Linked DNA regions of Mus musculus: region 1 is reported to be linked to region 2. Evidence: microRNA targets listed by miRTarBase, many of them from high-throughput screens and not tested one by one. Region 2 holds a microRNA gene; the other region holds the end of a gene's coding sequence.
What was found. Region 2 holds the annotated microRNA mmu-miR-181d-5p (AACAUUCAUUGUUGUCGGUGGGU, at 1,711-1,733, opposite strand). A microRNA usually pairs through its seed, bases 2 to 8, with sites in the 3' UTR of a target mRNA and lowers its output. Matches are read on the target gene's strand: a 7mer-m8 pairs with bases 2 to 8, a 7mer-A1 pairs with bases 2 to 7 and ends in A, and an 8mer does both.

Region 1 (3,402 bases), not on the chromosome of region 2:
TGAATGTGTTTATCTTTTTGAGAGCTGTGATCCTCCTTCTCTCTCTCTCTCTCTCTCTCTCTCTCTCTCTCTGTCTGATTCTCTCTCTCTGTCTGATTTTGTGTGTGAGGCTAGGGCTAGTACTTCCCACATCCCAGGCAGGTGCTATACCACTGAGCCATTTCCCTGTCCCCCCCTCCCCCATTTGCCTATTGTTACCCACACCTACCTCCCAGTACAACCACATTGACCACCAACACAGTGTGGTTTTCAGCTTCCCTAATGCTGCGATCCTTTAATCGGTTCCTTACATCGTGGTGACCCCCAACCATACGGTTATTTTCACTGCTGCTTCATAACTGTAATTTTGCTACTGTTACGAATCGTAACGTGGATATCTGACATGCGGGCCCCGTGAAAGGCGTCTCGACCCACAGGTTGAGAACTGGCTCTAAGGAGTTCATCTCTTTCTGTTTGCAGCTGACTACATCGTCATGCAGTTTGGACGCGTGGCTGATGACGTGTTCACACTGGACTATAACTACCCACTGTGCGCACTTCAAGCCTTCGCCATCGGGCTGTCCAGCTTTGACAGCAAGCTGGCGTGTGAATGAGAAGCAGCAAGCAGGGGATTTCTTCACCACAGAGCCTTCAAGAGCAGAAAGCTGCTGCCTCTGCCCCTGCCCCTGCCCCTGCCCCTGCCCCTGCCCCTGCCCCTGCCCCTGCCCCTGCCCCTGCCCCTGCCCCTGCCCCTGCCCTAGCACAAGAAGAGCAACATTCTGCCCCTCTGGTGAATGATCCAGTGTGTGTGTGTGTGTGAATGTGCATGTGTGTGTTTGTTTATACATGCATACACATTCACACATGGATGCATGCTTCCACGTACTCGTTCATGCCTTCTCTGAACTTCAGAGACCTGGTCATAGATTACAACTTCTCATGTGTGAGAGATGGCTTAAAGCACAGGGAAGTAGACACCCAGGCACACTGGTGTCTCCTGATCGCACAACAGACTCTGTGTGGTGAGTGTAGCTTTCATGTGCTCGGGCACTTCCAACAGAATCAGGTTCTAATGATTTAATACTTGGGCCTCCTGTTTTGAAGGCCCTTTCAAAAGGGGGCTTTTCCCTTGGATGCCTTTAGCCCAGGAGCCTGCAGCCTTCCTCAGCCAATGGTCTGATAGTGTCTCTTGCACTGACCCCAGTCAGGTCCTTTAGCACAAAACAGCCATAACTAGTTGGTGCACAAAGAGTGTAGCTGTGTCCCAATAAAACTTTATTTACAAAGTGGGCATTGGCCTAGTTTGGCCTGTGACTCTGGTTCGCAGGCCTGCCTTGGCTGTGTCCCTGTCCTCCAAGGCTGGAGCATCTTCCAGGCTAGATGTGGAGAGGCGGGGGGTGGTTTACTTTTCAGTAGCAGCAGACTGACATTTTATTTTTATTTTTACTTTATTTTTTTTTCCCATGGATCTCTGTGTAGCCCTGGCTATCCTGGAACTTATTCTGTAGACCAGGCTGGCCTCAGAGATCCACCTGCCTCTGCCCCCCAAGTGCTGGAATTAAAGGCTTACACTACTGTGCCTGGCCATAGACAGACTCTTAAGAGGAATTCTTGCCGAATCTACTCTTGGTAGCTTTTGCCTCATGGAGATTATGGCTGCAGAGTGTCATATATCATCTTGGGACATGTGACACTAGTTTGTTCGTGGGTCTGAAAGGCTCTGCTGTCCCCAGCCTGCCTCTTGCTTATTCTCAGAGTAGGTTGGTGGGCAGCCATCTCAGAAGCATGACTGTGGCCAGATCTTCGGAATCTTTGCTCTCTGGAATCTTAATCTAGTGTCTCCTTAGAGGCAGCAAGAGTCTTGGTGAGGAGGTCACCTCGCCGACACTCCACAGGCTTTGCCTGTCAGCTTTGTCCTCCAGCCTCGAAACCTGGCCCACACCAGTGGAGACACTGCCCTGCATGCTGAGTCTTTGAGATCTTGAACATCTCGAACATCTCCCAGCGAATCATGACAAATTCCTCAAGGTCCCCAGCCTACAGTGTACCTGAACTTAAGAATTCAAAAACTTTGGGTCTACATTCAGTGGTCCCCCACTCTCAAACTGGCAACTGCTCCGTGGTTTTTCCTGTATGGAGGAGGTCCCTGCATCCCTGCATCCTGTTGCTCCATGCTCACAGCTGTGTGACGACTACAGCGTGAGATCTGGGAGGTGAGACCTGTGCTAAGGCCAGTGTCTTGCCTGTCCCTTCAGATGTCACTGTCTCTGCCTCTGGCAGGCGTCCCATCAAGTGCCTTGTTCATAAATGTGCTCTGAAACCTGACACACCTCTGCTTTCCCAGACGAGCCACCTTTGTTGAGTGAAAACTGCTCTCTGTCTCCACTTGAAGGGGGTGGGGCTATGACTTTCTGCCCAGCCTAGAGAGCTGTATACTCCCATTTCATGGACTCTGCTTGAGTGTGCAGGTTTTACATGAATTCTATTTATACCTTTTGTATGCCACATAAATAAAGATAATTTATATAAAGATGTCGCTTTCCCAGAATACCATCCCTTGGGTTTCTCCTGTTGTGTTCTTTAAGCTCTTTGAGCCAAGTAGCAGCAGAATTGGGTCTTTGGGGTGGAGGTGGGGGCACCACAGACTAAGAACCCAGTTTAGGAGGCAGCATAAAAGTGTCATACTCACGATCTTGGAGCTCTGCATGAATTGTGGAACTCAGCAGACTGCACTAGGGGCCCAGGATGGCCAGGCCAAATCATCTTGGACACTGGTCAGCCTCCTGGATCTAACAGTAAAACTGTGTGTGTGTGTGTGTGTGTGTGTGTGTGTGTGTGTGTTAGGATCTTGTGGCTATTCAAGGCTATACTGGAAAGCAGCCCAGGCTGCCTTTGAACTCACACCCCTCCTACCTCAGCCTCTAGCACTGAGACTAAGAGCTCTGTGCACATGTAATGGACTGTGTCACCTGATATTGATACGTGGAGAGAAAGTCTGCACTCACAGACCTTTCTAAGCTTTTACTCCTTGTTCTGGCTGGTTTTGTGTGTCAACTTGACACAAGCTAAAGTTATCACAGAGAAAGGAGCTTCAGTTGGGGAAATGCCTCCATGAGATCCATCTGTGGGGCATTTTCTCAATTAGTGATCAAGGGGGAAGGGCCCCTTGTGGGTGGTACCATCCCTGGGCTGGTAGTCTTGGGTTCTATAAGAACAAGCCAGGGGAAGCAAGCCAGTAAAGAATATCCCTCCATGGCCTCTGCATCAGCTCCTGCTTCCTGACCTGCTTGAGTTCCAGTCCTGACTTCCTTGGTAATGAACAGCAGTATGGAAGTGTAAACTGAATAAACCCTTTCCTCCCCAACTTGCTTCTTGGTCGTGTGTTTGTGCAGGAATAGAAACTCTGACTAAGATACTCCTGTT
Region 2 (3,402 bases):
TATTTTTGGGGTTTTTTTGTTTTGTTTTTTTGAGACAGGGTTTCTCTGTGTAGCCCTGGCTGTCCTGGAACTCACTCTGTAGACCAGGCTGGCCTTGAACTCAGAAATTCGCCTGCCTCTGCCTCCCAAGTACTGGGATTAAAGGCGTGCAAGAAACAAGAAACAAGAGTTTCTTGTTAGGTGGGGTAATGCAGAAATCCCAATTCCTAGGAAGGAGGCCTGAGTGTGGAAGTGGGGCTGGGGGTAGGAAAATGACAACTGGGTCTCAAAGCTCTGGTTTCACTAACAGACTTTCATGTCCTGGAGAACTTAGTCTTGAGGTGTGAATTAAAGTAAAGAAAGAAGAAAAGAGAAAAAGAGTGTAAGTACGATAGAGAAGAAGAGAGAAGAAAACAGAAGAGAAGAAGAAAACAAAATGTCTGAATTATATAGGGAAGAGCCTCTGGGGGGGCGGGGGAGGGCAGTCCAGCTCCTGGGCTAGAAAGTTCAAGGTTGGGGGCAGAGTATGCCAGGTAGGGACTGAGGAATGCTGGGAGAACCTGGAGGCCAGGTCTGCTTTGATGTGTAAAATACGCACCTCAGTCCTGCAGTCTAAACCAAACAAAGAATGCTCCTAGTGGGTAGAGAAGTGGTTTGTTTTTGTAGATAAAAGGGACAATTACAGGCAGGGGCAGGGGCAAGGACACCTAGGAGTCTCCAGAGTGGACATGACCAGCAGACTAAGCCAGGCATGAAGGAAAGGGGAACAAGAAAAAGAAGACAAGCCGGGCGTGGTGGCGTACCCCTTTAATCCCAGCACTCGGGAGGCTGAGGCAGGCGGATTTCTGAGTTCGAGGCCAGCCTGGTCTACAAAGTGAGTTCCAGGACAGCCAGGGCTACACAGAAAAACCCTGCCTTAAAAAACCAAAAAAAGAAAAGAAAAAGAAGACAAAAGAAAAAAGGAGCATCTAACCAAAAAGGTTGGCCTATATATGAACCAGAGAAGCTGCAGGAAGGGAAAGCCCAGCCTAGTTCCTTGGCTAGAGAAGTTCAGGGTAAAGGACAAGATATGTCAACAAGGAGGACCCTGTTAAAGGAACTGAGGGATGCTGCGAGAACATGGCAGCCTGCGGCTTCAACTTTGATAAAGGAATAGGCACCTCAGCCATTTGTCCTGGGTTTAAGACCTTACCAAGTTGAGTTCCCAACTCTTCCCCCTCCAGTTAGCTAAGCAGCCTCAAGGTTACCCCAACCTAGGAATGCAGCAGGAGGGGAAAGAGCCTTCAAGCACAGGAAGACAAACTGCACTGGCATACCCCAGCAGGTGCCAGCCCCCTTATCTGACACCTGTCAAAGGAGCCTGCAGCCTGAGCTCAAAAAGAAACAGGAGTCACCACTGCTAGGACAGACTTCATTCCCGCTCATCCATCCACCTGCCCATGTATCTGTCACATGTTCATCTACCAGTTTGCCCACTGCAGAGCATCACTGAGCAAACATCATCCCCCCAGAGTCTCCCAATTTAGGATCTCCCCAACACCTAACCCTCCAGGGTTTATTTCCCAATTCCAATCAGCCCATCAAGATCCCAGACACCAGTCCCATTTCCCCAAGGGGAGTAAGTGACAAGCAAAATCTGAAGGGTTCTATCCTCTTTCCCATCCCTGATGGTGTTGTTTGGCCCAGCCACAGTGACATTCATCCCCCGGTGGGTCTGGCTGCCTCCTCACAACCCACCGACAACAATGAATGTTAATTGTGACCTTTGCTGTGGCCTGAGGCAGGGGATGCTGCCTGGGGCTCTCCCGGGTCTACAGGGTGGGGATGGGGTAGACGGGTGGCAGTTCCAGGCCTCGGGGTCCACTCAACGGTCGATGGTTTGTCTGAGCTGCCCAAACTCACCGACAGGTTGAATGTTCCCCCAAACCCTTGGCAAGTTCTTGGATAACTGGAGTTGGGAGAGTAGGCCAGCAAGGCAGAGAGCATGTGGGACGAGAGAGAAACCAGGGTCCCCTTTGACTCACAAAATCAGCCATCAGTTATTCTTTTTTGGAGACTCAGAAGAAGCAGCACAAATACAAACCATAATGTAAAAAACGCAGCCCCTGCAACAGAGATGATAATGTGCCTGTCTCAATTCATGTGCTATATATATTCAAGGGATGCATTCACAACTGATATCTCAGCACTCTGGAGTCTGAGGGTTGGGATGGCCTTAGTAAGGTTACAGGCTAACCTGACCTAAAGAGTGAATTCCTGATGAGGGCTAAGTACTGTGATAAATAAAATCCTCCAAAGCATTTCTGAGAGATACAAATTCCCCTCACTGGTCAGTTGGAAAGACTGAGGCCAAAATACAAAGTGGGGATTTTCTAGCCACCATTCTGGGAACTCGGGTAGGTCATCAGGTTCTGGTCTGGGCCTGGGCTAGGCATAGGGCAACTGAGCCGTAAACAAGTTACTTTTATACAATGTAACAGGGCTTCTCCAGCAAACTTGAGATAAATAAGGCTTTCAATATATTGTAAACTTTTCCACCTTCCCATGGTCACTAAACTTAGTTTGACGGTTTCTGAGACCACCACTGCCCTACCCAGTAGAGCAGTGAGCTGTGAAAGAAGGCTATACACAGACACACCCCACCCCCACCCAAAGGCTTCTAAATGGTCGGGAGGGGGAGTGCGGGGGGGGGGGGGGAGGCTTCCCTTTTGCTTTAACTGAGCTCAGAACACCTCAGAGAGGGAGAGGTGACCCTCAAGGATCTCCTGAAGTCACACAAGACAGATCAAGAACACTAAATGTAGTAGTATGCTTGTGTGAAACTCCTGCAGGGTTAGCACCGGCCTGTGCAGTACCAGGCCACCACTGCAGACTTGCCCTCCAATTCAGGCCTTTGACAGGGTTCCCTATGGCCCTCCTACAAACCATCCCTTTTAGATCTAACGCCAAACTCAATCACCTGAGAGCTTAGGTCCTACCCCCTGCCTAGCACCTCAGTGTGGTTCCAGGGCACCCCTAGAAGTTCCCTAGAAGTTCAGCTCCTTTTAAGGGCCACCCCTACCTACAGACCCAAACCTGGCCCCTGGCTCCAGCAAGACTTAGGAAGCACTATCTCCCGGTAGAGCCCTAACCCTGCTTCCTCAGCCCAGGGCCCGGTAACTGGTCACATTCCCAGCCCCAGGGGCCCTCTCTTTCTGGCCATGGATTAAGAGGTCCTGCATGGGAAAGGCAGGTCTCCTGCTTTGGTAGCTCTCAGCCCTGAGGAAATAAAGGTCTAGACTGGTCAGATGAAGATGAGCTGGTCACAGGCGCTTTGCACAGACCACCACTGTGCCCCTGGGGAAGGGCCTGCTGCCAGTTCAGAACAGTTTTAGGGGGTTCCTGAAAGCTAAAATGGAGGATTATGAGGCACACGGGACACTC

Region 1: miRTarBase lists Tulp3 as a target of mmu-miR-181d-5p. Seed matches in the 3' UTR shown: 7mer-m8 at 797-803.

Annotation. Positions count from the first base shown.
Region 1 is chr6:128,320,270-128,323,671 of GRCm38, reverse strand. It overlaps Tulp3 (tubby-like protein 3), which reads left to right. Exons shown (of 11, transcript NM_011657.2): 11 at 460-2,511. The coding sequence ends at 593. Among named protein-coding and RNA genes, the nearest start is that of Tead4, 21 kb to the right of the region's middle.
Region 2 is chr8:84,177,049-84,180,450 of GRCm38, forward strand. It overlaps Mir181d (microRNA 181d), which reads right to left and starts at 1,739; the gene lies at 1,668-1,739. Mir181c (microRNA 181c) reads right to left here and starts at 1,913; the gene lies at 1,825-1,913.